Ovis aries: one gene and its partner. The protein of the gene in region 1 purifies or fractionates together with the protein of each later gene. This does not show direct contact. Links are inferred from orthologs where the notes say so. Each region holds a gene or a part of one and is shown in the gene's direction. Other genes may lie near its edges.

What was found. The genes of interacting proteins can lie anywhere in the genome.
Region 2: the proteins of VTI1A (region 1) and VAMP4 purify together in Homo sapiens (affinity purification with mass spectrometry; 4 studies listed by BioGRID and IntAct, counting the BioPlex papers as one, with this or other methods). This does not show direct contact. The link is inferred for Ovis aries from reciprocal best matches to the Homo sapiens genes VTI1A and VAMP4.

What each region holds. Positions count from the first base shown.
Region 1 is NC_056075.1:32,505,181-32,511,285, forward strand, and holds the start of VTI1A (vesicle transport through interaction with t-SNAREs homolog 1A), read left to right. Parts: upstream 1-2,453; 5' UTR 2,454-2,608; coding exon 2,609-2,702; intron 2,703-6,105. Other genes in the region: palmitoyltransferase ZDHHC6, read right to left, coding at 441-707. UniProt on the Homo sapiens protein: V-SNARE that mediates vesicle transport pathways through interactions with t-SNAREs on the target membrane. These interactions are proposed to mediate aspects of the specificity of vesicle trafficking and to promote fusion of the lipid bilayers.
Region 2 is NC_056065.1:38,444,158-38,450,405, reverse strand, and holds the start of VAMP4 (vesicle-associated membrane protein 4), read left to right. Parts: upstream 1-2,857; 5' UTR 2,858-3,013; intron 3,014-3,091; exon of another isoform or gene 3,092-3,320; intron 3,321-5,781; 5' UTR 5,782-5,832; coding exon 5,833-5,898; intron 5,899-6,248. UniProt on the Homo sapiens protein: Involved in the pathway that functions to remove an inhibitor (probably synaptotagmin-4) of calcium-triggered exocytosis during the maturation of secretory granules.

The sequences.
Region 1 (6,105 bases):
GACTGAACTGAACTGAACTGAGCATCATAAAGAGTCAGACACAACTGAACGACTGAACTGAACTGAACTGAGCTTCTAAAGTTTTCTTTTTCAGTTATGAGGGATGTTAACATGTTACATGGAAAAAAAAAATCCCAGTGCCAAACCACACTGTGGAATTATGAGGTACACAATATACAGTGCTTCCTAGAAACTTATGACCACGTACTCATTACTACCACTCCTTTTTTTTTTTTCATTGAAATCGCTTTGGGAAATACTTTCAAGCAGGTATGAAAAAAATTCTTTGAGCTCTAAATGGCCAGTGATTAGAATAATATGCTTAGTCTCCACCAAAGTAAAAAGTAGGCTATGTTTGATATTATTGGTTGGTAGGTAAGGAAAAAACTAAATATATGATTATCATGAGGGTTCACCATTTTAAGGAACCTTTTTCTTACCGGTTTCCACCCCAGAGGGACGAAGCCAGGACCAACAAACATGGCATTGAAGTAATTATAAAGAATCATGACAGTCCAGTTTATCAACATAATGAAATTCACGCTTCCTCCAGTGGTATGTAAGGGCCAATACCACAACACAGAGTCAATCATGGCCATGGTAGAACATATTGCTATAACACCAAGGGCTATAATGGGACCCCAGTGACAAAGTCTCTTTAATTCTTGGAGATTTTCAAACTTGACAACTGAGCAGAATGTACCCATTTTGGTGAGGAAGAATGTCTTCCAGTTTTTAAAGAATTACAGATTTCCTTTTTCTGTGCACACATTTCCTCGTGCCACAAGTCCGTGTGTGTTCCTTAATTGTCATGTCGTCACGTTGTGGGATGTTAATGCAGATTATGCCATTTTCACTGACACTTTTTAATCTAGGAGAATCCAGTACCTTGGTTTGAAACTTAATCTAAAGAAAACAAAATGAGAAGGTTGGGTAAGACATTTTACTATCTACTGTATTTGTTAATTTCAATAATCGCCTAAATAGAAGCAGCTCACAAGTACATTACTATGAATGAGTATCTCACCAAATATCAAAGAGAACCATTTTCATCTTATCCAAACTTTAGTCAATTCTGAATGGCAGGTAAACTGGATCCATGATTCTTAAGTGGTTGTTTTTTTCCCTTTGTTCCTAACTTGTCAGAGGATTATGTCTGTGCAAGCGTTTAGTGAAAGGCTGCAGTTAACAAAAACAATTTAGAGCTGGGATGGAGGGCCTTATAGTTGACCTAATCCAGTTTCCTTCTTCATAGAAAAGAAAATGGCTCAGAGAGGCTGAGCGATTAAACCACTTGGGTGAGTGACAGCTGAACCCGACAGAAGCCAAATCATCAAACCTCCTTTACAGAGTTCTGAACTGTCTCCTACCCACTCTTGAATTAAATCCAGTTTGATCCAGACAAGGTCTACAGCATTTGCCTGCGGTTGCCCCTCAAAGGCTAACGTAAGGTCTACTTGTGTTAGAAGTAAAGAAATCGGAGGATGAAAGCTCAAGGAGGGGAGGGGAGGAGCGGGGAGAGGAGGTGAGGAGAGAGACGTGTGTGTGAACTCAGGGCCGGAGGCGTAGATGAAAATAAGCACGAATGAGACTATTGGGGGGACGGGGAGGGAGGGAGCGGGGGCGGGAGGGGGGGGGGAAGGCGAGGGACCGGGAAGGCAGGACGGCGAGCGCGGGGAAGATCTGTAGAAGGCTATTTAGCACTGGACTGGAGTGAGTCAAGCGAAGAAGATCTGAGAACCAGAGCAACAAAGATTTCCACGCAAGAGATGTCGCGCTGCCTCGTGCCTCAGTTTCCCTCCCGTGTTATGGAGCAGAGCACTGAGAAATCCTCACGCAGGGGACGAACATCTTGGTAAGGGTGGTTGGTCTCGGTTTTCTGGAGATGCTGGCTTCATTCGGGTGGGGCGATGACCGCAAAATCATGTCCCCTGCTTTGACTCCCACCTCGGTCCGGTCCTCAGTGCCCGCTCCTCGGCCATCGCATTTCTGGGGCGGCTCGGGCTCACCCGGAGCAGACTCTCTCCCTCTCGGATAACTCCTTCCTGGGTACCCCAGCCCAACGCAAGTAGAAAGTAAATTCTGTGCGCTAGAAGCTGGGGTGTGTGACCAGCCACGACCCGCGCGTCGCTCCGCCAGCGCCCTCGCAGCTGCTCTCCTGCTCGAGCTCAGTGCGCAGTCTCCGTGACAGCCACTTCCGGGAGGTCCGCCGCATCAACCTTCCGTCGGGAAGCAAGTTCCTCTGGCTTCTAGTTTGGGGAACCGGAACCACTTTCCAAAACGCGGAGGAAGGAAAAAAAAGCTTTTAAATGATTCCTGAGAACACGAGGTTTTTTTAGGCTTTTAGGGACACTGATTTAAGGGGTTTTCCTTAGAGAACTTCTTAATCTTGGAGCCTAAACGGAAACTGAAACACGCACCCAGCCCAACTTCCGGAGGACCAAGATCGCGACGAACAACCAGGAAGCGGTCGGCCTGGGAGCTGTCCCCGGTTCTCTGCTCCGCTCTCTAGGGAACTTTCCGGGTCCTTACACTCTGTTTTTCTTGCCCCGCGTGACCTCAGCTCCGTTCTAGGCTCCGACCCGGGCCGGCCACTCCGGAACCCGCCATGTCGTCCGACTTTGAAGGCTACGAGCAGGACTTCGCGGTGCTCACAGCAGAGATCACCAACAAGATTGCAAGGGTCCCCCGACTCCCACCTGGTAAGGGCGCTTCTTAGGCCGGGCGGGGGTGTCCTGGAAAGTGGGGAGGCTCCGGTGTGGACGATGGAACTCTGCCTCAATGCCTCTTAGGCGCGAGCCTGGAGGATGAAGTAGTGTCGGGGCCTCCGGGAGGAATGGTTGAGTGGGTTGAGGGTAAGGGGAGGATCCAAGCTGGATTGTGGGGTGCAGAGCCTTTGGAATCTGAAGCTTTTTTGGAGTTCTTATCTGGACTTCTCCACCTTTTTACTCGTATAACCATGGGAACGTTTCTCTGAGTCTTCGTTTTGGTTGGCTTTTCTGTTACTTTTGTTTGTGAAATACAGAGATGTGAGAGTATTCAACGAGAATGAATTAACGTACCAAGGTCATGGGTCTACACCATACAGCAACGTTGTTTTGTTAGTAACGATGTTATTACTATAGGCAGAAAAGCAGGGTTGAGAGCCGTGGTGCCTGGATTCAAATCCCAGCCCTGCCACTTAGAAGTTGCATTTAGGCAAGTTTCTTAACTTCCCGCAACTTTTGTTTCTTGGTAAAATGGAAAGAATTGTGCATCTCTCATGTGAAGATTAAATGACTTAACATATGTAAAATCCTTTTTTTTTAAAATGTTAGCTGCTATAATCATTAATATTTTTCATACTACCAAGCTCATTTATTTTTTTCTCATCCTTCTTGAGAAACGATGTGTAAAAATTGGTACAGAATAATTTTTCTCACTTTTAAAATCCCACAGCTGTCATTCAGAAGAATTTTTTTGTTTTAGCACATCTTATTTTAAATGCTGGACTGTCAACTATGTGAAGGTGGGAGCTATCTTTGGTTTCCTTGGCATTTACTTAGAAGGAGCTCAGGAAAATGTTCAAGGAAATGAACAGATACATAAATATGATATCATGTAATTTTCATCTGTAGGATATTGTTTTAGGATTTGTTTTCTCTCAATACAGATTTAATTTGAGTATTTAGTTGCAAATAAGATTGCTATTCAGGAACTTAGCTGTGGTAGGGAAATTGAACCGTATACCTTCACTCTGTGGTGTAAAGTTTATCTGTAAACCGGTGGTCAACTTCATTGTTCCACCTTGTCAGTCAGTCCTTGATGCCAGCAATAATTTCTCCTATACCGAAGCTGTGATTCCTCTTTTCCTTTCCCCACCTCTCCCCAAACTTATGTGTTTATAAATAATTTTATTCCTTTATTTCTTTATTTTTCTCCTCCCCCTCCCACACCTGTTTTCTATTAATAGGGACATTTGCTTGAAGCCAGGATCTCTGAACTTACACCCCATTCATCTCCTGAAGTCCCAGTTAGTTCTGGAGGAGGTGGAGGATGATGTCTTAAAGAGGTGTATGAGTCCAAGTGAGGGAACAAGAGGAAAGAACCAAGGTAGCATCTACCACGGAGCTCTGCTGCCTGGGAGATTGTTGTGGCGAAAGTGGCCAGTGGCCTCATCACTTCATGATACATCACCTCGCCTCTTCTCTTCAGTTCTGCTTTCCTCCACCACCCAAGATCATCTTGATTTTTGTTGTCATTATCGTTGGAGCCTACCTTTGACTTCAGTCCCAGAACCTCAGAATATCAGGATTTGTGGTTTTGTGGGATTTTTTTGCTCTGTTTTAATTGTCAGAATTGTAGCTTAGCAAACATTCTTTTGTTTGGGCTAATAGCTTTGGTATTGAGAAGCTATTCTATAAAGTAACAAAGTCATTCCTGGGTGCAAAATTGTAACAGCCAATTCCAAGAAAACAGATTTGTTACAATTGTTGTTTTTTTTCTTCCCTTTTATTTTAATGTGACCATTCTTACCACATAGAAACCTTTGAATTAAGTAACTTAGAGACCTTGAATTTCTACAGCTACAATGTAATGTAAGGTCCAAAGAAGCAGCTTCATGGGAATTGAAAGGAGACTATAGCTGGCATTGGAAAAATGCTTACTAACTTGAATAATTAAATAAAATAGTAATTCTTAAAAATACTGTGGTTTCCCTCTCAATAATTATTTGTACTTGCTCATTTTATAATCTGTTTCTAGTTGATAAATAGGGAAAGATAAAAAATATTATGTTTGTAGTTATGCATTTCAGATGTATATCTGTGGACAACAGGAATTGATTATGTGCAACCATGCAAAACTAGTATGATTAAAAGTAATTATAATCTCTTCCTGGCATCATTGGTGGTTGACCCAGAAATTACCCAAGTAAAGGTTAAAAATTGGAGCAAAATTTTCAGCCAAAGCAGTTTAGTCCCTGAAATATTAACTTACTGAAATGGGATTAGAATAAATTGGATTGATTGCAACTAACTTCATTCTCTGCTGTGCATGTACAATGTGTTAAAGTGTTACTTCCAAGAGAATAGAAAAGATTAAATATTTTAAAACTTCAAAAAGAAATTTGATTACTCTGTGGACCAAAAGATAGATCAGTCTCTTCTTAAGTAATATTCTTATTGCACTATATTTGAGCTTTGATTTTAATGATTTGTATTCTGGAGTAAAGTCAGGAAAATGGATGAGTGGAAACCATCACTAACACTAATTGTAACGTTCCTCTTTCTCTGACGATGAGTTGTAAGTGGGGGAGATACTTTATAGAGGCTGGAATTCCATGCCAACAAGCAGGCTTCCTGAAGGATCTTAAGCAAAAGGTTCCTTTGCAGTTAGTTGCTTATCTCACCGTGTACAGGGAGAAAAATGGTCTGTTGTGAAGCCTATCATTTGGTAGCTGTAGTCAGAAATACTGAGAAAGGTGTTATGGTAACAGTTCACATGTGGCATCAGATCTGTTTAGAATCCCAGCTCTGCTGCTTATTAGATGTGCAACTTGGGCATGTTGCCTTGCCTGTCTAAGTCTGCCTCCGCCACCTGGAAAATTCAGTGTGTGTGTGTGTGTGTGTGTGTGTGTGTGTGTGTGTGTGTGTTGGAGGCAGGGTGTGTGTATGATAGTTTCACCCTTCAGTTCAGTCACTCAGTCGTGTCCGACTCTTTGCGACCCCATGAATTGCAGCACGCCAGGCCTCCCTGTCCATCACCAACTGCTGGAGTTCACTCAGATTCACGTCCATCGAGTCAGTGATGCCATCCAGCCATCTCATCCCCGGTCGTCCCCTTCTCCTCCTGCCCCCAATCCCTCCCAGCATCAAAGTCTTTCAGTGAGTCAACTCTTCGCATGGACTGGAGTTTCAGTTTTAGCATCATTCCTTCCAAAGAAATCCCAGGACTGATCTCCTTCAGAATGGACTGGTTAGATCTCCTTGCAGTCCAAGGGACTCTTAAGAGTCTTCTCCAACACCACAGTTCAAACGCATCAATTCTTTGGTGCTCAGCTTTCTTCACAGTCCAACTCTCACATCCATACATGACCACAGGAAAAACCATAGCCTTGACTAGACG
Region 2 (6,248 bases), on another chromosome or scaffold:
TATTTTTAAAAATTGGTATGGAAAGATTTCTTTCACTTTAACTTTTCATCCTCTGAAGAAAGTTTGAAATGTATCTATTTGAGGTATTTTGATGGTATAATTTCATTCCTTCTAAATAACTGCTCAGATGCCACTTGTGACATAGCACCTAAAGCAAGGAACTATGATAAAGGAACCCTCGTGATTTCTGATGTCAGTGAAGTGTGACTGTGACTGAGACCAACTTCATGGATTGTTACAGGCTTTGAAATGAGCGTGAGCAGAGTATGTGATATTTTCTTTGCTGAAAAAAAGATTAAAAATTAAAAACATAAAACCATTCAGAAGTCTAATAAAGGAAAATAGGAATGATAAATGTGTATATATTATGCACAAAAAGGTTTAGATACAGCCTATACATGTATATATAGAGAGAAAAATGTAGGGTAAAAAGATACCCTACTTGTCTTTCTACCAACTCTGTAATATGTGGCAGAAGGGGAGCTGACCCAAGAATTTCTGACTAAACAATGCTGACTGAATGTGCCTTCACTGCCTAAAGAAACCAGAATCTTCTCATTCTGGCTCACCCCCCTTCACCCCCCTCTCCCATCTCCCCTCGTCAGAGTCTGTAAGTAGTGAGTTTTAAGTACCTGCCTATATGTGAGAGGCATAAGAAATTCTTCCTTTTGGAAACCCCTCCTTCCCATTTTCTTGTGTAGTCATGGCAAGTAAACTTATCTCTTTATAGTAGTGTAAGAGTGGTTTGGATATAATTCTACTTTCAGGCCTGATGGAGTAAACTGAGACACACCAATTCTCTAAAAATAAATGGAAAAGCCAGATAAATACAAACAGCATCTCTATAAAGCAATCCAAGAGCTGCTAGAGCATTGAGGCTGGAGGAGCCAAGATTCCGAGGGGGATCTGCAAAATGGAGAGCTTTTTCCTTGGCCAGGTGGAGGTACTTACTGATTCTCGGTAGAAGGCTGAGCACCTGGGCTTTGCCTGGGTCAAGGGTCATCAATGGGGGGGGGGGGCAAAAGAAAAAAAAGTTATATTTTGGGTTCTCACAGGACTGAAGAGACAAAACTGAAATCTTGGAGAGCCAGGATTTCAGAAAGAAGGAAGGAAGGAAGAACTGAGGGACCCTGATGGTTTCCCCTCAAAATTTTGCTGAATTAGGAAGCTGTAATACTTGGTACAGGAAGTTAGGATGAGAAAATCACTGTTTTTCAGTTTTCTGCTTAGCCTCTTTACCTACCCAGCAGAGATGAGAGTCACAGCACCAAAATCCAAGAAAAAAAATACACAATAGAAACCGGCCCACAGGTAATTCATGTATTAGATTAACAGACAAGGACTTTGATTCAAATATTCAAAAATAGAACTTCCCTGGTGGTCCAGGGGTTAAGACTCCATGTTTGTAATGCAGGTGGGTATGGGCTCAATCCATGGTTGGAGAACTAAGATCCCACATGCTGCACAGTAGAGCCACTCCCCTAAAAAATTTACCCCAAAATGACAAAAAGATAAAAGGGGATCAGAATTTATTTTTAATGGAAATTCTGGAACCAAAAAATACAATCACTGAAATCGAGAGCAGTCTGGGAAATCAAGGGCAGGTAGAACTACGTCTGTGCACACAGATACTGACATTGGCTCAGGACGTGACTCAGTTGCATCTCTGGAGCTCGGTCTCAGTGCTGGAATCCTAAAATCTAGTGCAGACTCAAAGGGTTTGTGCACACAAGAAGGAAACAAAAACAAAAACAACTCTTCACAGAGCGGAAGGAGCGGGTGGGATGAACTGAGAGAGTAGCAGTAACATATACATACTACCATCTGTAAAAACATAGCTAGTGGGAAACTGCTATACATAACACAGGGAGCCCAGCCCCCAGTGCTCAGTGACAACCAAGGTATCTTTCACTTAGTGTTTGTTTGGCTTAAATATGCACTAAATCAAAACACTATTCAACAAAGAACCTAAAAATATTTCGTAAAAATGACATGTAGAAAAAAATTGATAGAAAAAAACCATTAAGAACAATCCAGCTGGGGAGTATCTGGGAGGAATGGATAATAAACAAGACATAACAAAAACAATGCTGGAACCGTTATGGATTACTATGCCCAGGCACTATCGGCTTAAATAAACCACTAACCCGGGGGGAGAGGAGGTGGGCAGAGTCAAGAGAACAGGAGAATGGATGTGCAAGGTTGATTTCCCACGATAAGGCTCCGGTGCCTGCGTGGTGTCTGGACCCAGGCATTTTAGGTTAGAACTCTACAGCATGCTTACTGGGGAGAGAACACTGAGTCCTACCTAGACTCAAAAATCTGTCCACCGAGCCGGGCAACCTTAAGGAAATCTCTTTGTAAGAGAGATTCCTAAAGTCTAAAATAGGGAGACGAGATTAGTAACCCTGACGATCTATACGTCTAACTCTGATGTTATAAACAAGGGATCACACAGATCTCCTTCCTTCAGAAAAGGCCAGTCCTCAGGCTTCGAGCCGTCCCGGTTTTTCGGCAAATCTGCATTAGCTCGGGGGATGGACCCCGCACAAAGCGCCGCCTCATTAACGCCTCATCAACCCCAGCCTCGAGCAGGCCTTCAGCGCCCAGCGCTGAGTGACTTCTCAGTCCTTCCTCCACCTCCCCGGGACGCCCGACCTCGGCTGGGACCCGGGAACCCGCGACTGTGTTTCCTCCCTGAACAGACAAAATCACCTGGGGCATCCAGGCCTAAGCTTCGCGTCCGCGGCGGCCTCCAAGAGGAGAGCTGAGGGGGATAATCGACTCCCTCGACGATCTCCGTGGCCTGGACCCGCCCCCTCAGCCTGGAGCCAGGCTGCGGAGGGCCGATCGGCTCGATGAGCGGGGGCGCAGCTGCGGCTGAGCGGCCGACGCCGGGTCCGCGCCCACTGTCTCCCCCTCCCTGCTCTCTTCTTCCGATTCCCACTCCTTCCCCCGCCCGTCCAGCGCCGTCCGCCCGGGAGAGTTGACGGGCGCTCCCCGGGAGACTCAGGTACGGCCGTCCTCCTGGGCCCGACGGGAGGGGCGGATGTGCGGAGGAAGGAAACGGAGACGGCGTCCGTGCCTCGCCGCCCCCAACGTCCGCGTCGGGCTGAGGGGCTGGCCTCGGGGGTCGCCGAGTGGGGAAAGGCTGGGGTCGGAGGGGCGGGTTACCCTGAGGAAGAATGATCAAGACCTGGGTGTGCAAAAAGGGGCTGTTAAGGGGGAGAAGAACAGGAATTGTAGGGTGCTCTGGGGAGATGGGAGGACAACAGCGGCGGGGATAGGGAAGACGAGAAGAGTGGGAGGCAGCCCGGAATGTGAGTGCGTATCTTGGGGTAAAAAGGACTAGAGTCTGGAGCAGATGGCGGGGGACGTGACCCGGTGCGACTGATGCGGGGGGCGGGTGAATGGGGCTGCTTGCTGGAGGGATGAATTTGTTTCTTTATTCAAAGACTGGGGAGAGAGCGCGCCAGTCCCGTTGCATTTATAATGACCGGAAGGGTAAGGTGAATCATTAACACTTTGACAGCTTTTGTGAAGAGCATCTTCAGGCGGTGTCCATCCAAGTCACTTATTTCCGTGAAACTGCACCAACCAAGATTGCTGATGAGAGTTGAGGAAGAGGAGTCAGAAAGGGAACGGAGGCTGGGAAAAGGGAGCCCTCTATACAGATTTCAAGCTTTTTCTAAAATGAAATACTAGGGGTTTTGGTGTGCTTGTTGTTTGCGTAAAGCAAAAAAGAAGCCAGCATTTACTAAACAACAGGTTAGAAGTATATTACTTACTGCCTCTTCAAAAAATACAGGAAATTGTGAACGTATGATGATGGCATAAGAAGCTTATGGTGATGTGACAGAAAAATGTATTGGTGATGTTGAAATACATCACTGAAGGTTCTGTTGTTTACATACATACCTAGACACAAACACCTGAATTTATATGTATTTTGGGCAGGAGAGATCTAGGGAGAATATATATAAGTCTAATTTCTGAGCATGGTTTATTTCTGCTAGTCGTCTGGTGCAAATATCATTTGCCCTGTCGTTCATCAACTGCAGTTAATAATCTGCCTGCTGCTTTGTTGATGCCTTTTATGTTTGTCAGTGATTTCTTGCCTTCATGAAGCTGATTCTTGGATTATGGACCCTGAATTTGGGTTTGCTCATCGTTAAGCTTGTAGTTTTACTGTACATTTCACAAAGATGTTATGTAAGTCTGCCTGCTATTTGTTTTTGGATGTTGAAGCAGCCCTTTTGTAAAGTTTAAAATATAAATAAAATACAGGTATAATTAAAAGCTCGCGTCCTTTGGTTGCTTCTTTTGTCATCTGTTTCTCCATACTTTCTGTAACATTCTGCATGAATGAATTATTCAGAAATCGAAGTATGAGGAATAAAATGGGTCAGATGCTGGATGTGCGTGACAGAAATATTGTAGAATGAAGAACTGTAGAGCTGTTACTTAGGTAGCAAGTACTTGGTTTTTGTTACAAGTGATTAAGTTTCTGGTTTGGAAAATTATTTCTTATCAAAGAAGAGTGTTTATATCAATTTGTTTGGATGGGAAGTCAACTTAAAATTTTACTTTATCTTTTATGAAACTGGACTCTGGGCTTGTTTTTTTCTTTTTTAAGTGAATGATTAACCACCAAATTGATGCCTAATTATGCTTAAAGATCTTAGAGGTGGTTTTGTGCAAAGGGAAAGGGCTGCTCGGTTGTTACAGGGAAATGGTCTTTATAGAACAGAATTGTGTAACCTGATAGACAGCTTATTGAGTAAATACTAAAATTGATCATGCACAGTCATTAATAATTTAGGCCTATGTTTCTGCTATTTCAATCAGTAGAGTGATTAATGCTGTTACTTATCTTTTACCAAGCCTTAGTTTTCTCTTGGTTTCTTGGTGCTTACTTCAAAGAAGTGTTGTAAAGAATTAAAAAAAAATGTGTGTAAGTTACTGAGCACAGTGCCTAACACATAGTAAAATAGTCAGTACACCTTAGCTGTTCTCATTATTCATCCATCTTCTTGTCCAAGATACTGACAACTTCTGTTTGCATATGTCAGCTTTTTCTCAAGAAAATTTTGAATATGATGCATATTCAAGCATGTTCCTGGAAAAACTCAATGCAAATAAGCAGTTTAAAAACAGACTTTCTGTAGCAAACAGAAAACCTGACTTTGTTTAACCCAGCACTTAGCAAACATATCCCTTTCCTTGGAGCACCTGGTGTTATGCATTGGAACAGGGCATTATAATTTACAGAATGTTTTTGCATGTATGTATTAATCTGATATGACCATCCCAACTCCATGCAGAAGCCTAGAAATCACTATTATACAGATGAGGAAATGGAATCATTGTTGATGCAACTCACTAAAAGTGAGTGAGAGAATTTGAAGTGTTTTCTGTCTTCTGACTCCAAATTAAAATCTTTAAGCATTTGATGTCTCACTTGCAAGGGGACAACCTCCTGTTTTACCCTCCTCTCCTGTGGAGTCTTCTGTTTCATTTTATAAAAATGTTGTCACTGATTTTCTCCACATGTTCTCTAAAAGTTGCCTCCATTTTTCTCAGGGTTTTAACTATTTTTTGTGTACTGAGTCCTCGCATGGAGGGAGGCCAGGGTCACTTGTGTGGAGACCGTGTGAGAGAGAGCAGTGAAAGTCAGAGAAGTGGAGGGGGCCCCATCACATCAGGCCTTGTGTGCTGTTTTTACTACTTTAGCTTGCACCCCTAAGTTTCAAATCTGATGAAATTTATTTTCTCTTTAAGGTGGTAAAGATTTATCCTGCTGGGAAGTAGAAGAGTACCTCATTAAAAAAGATGCCTCCCAAGTTCAAGCGCCACCTAAATGATGATGATGTCACAGGTTCTGTGAAAAGTGAAAGGGTAAGTTCAGAATCTTAATCTTGAAAAAGGAAAGATTAAAAATTTGTTTTACTTTGTAAATAATTTTAGAAAAATCTAATGTTTATGGCTATATTTGAATCCTATATGTTTTCTTCACAGAAAACATTAAAAAATATATGTTACTTAGATTGGGACTCAGCCAAATTCTGTTTCTATTAGTGACCACATTTTGTTCCCAGTTTCTTTCTAGTCTTTCAAGGGGAATTTCGTATAAATACACAATATCTTCTTTCGGACTCTGGAGCCAAATGTGGTTGGAATTCCTCAGAATTTTTCAGATTTTACAGAGGTAGTTAGTGCACATTTTAAAAGAGTCTTTTGGGGGAGTC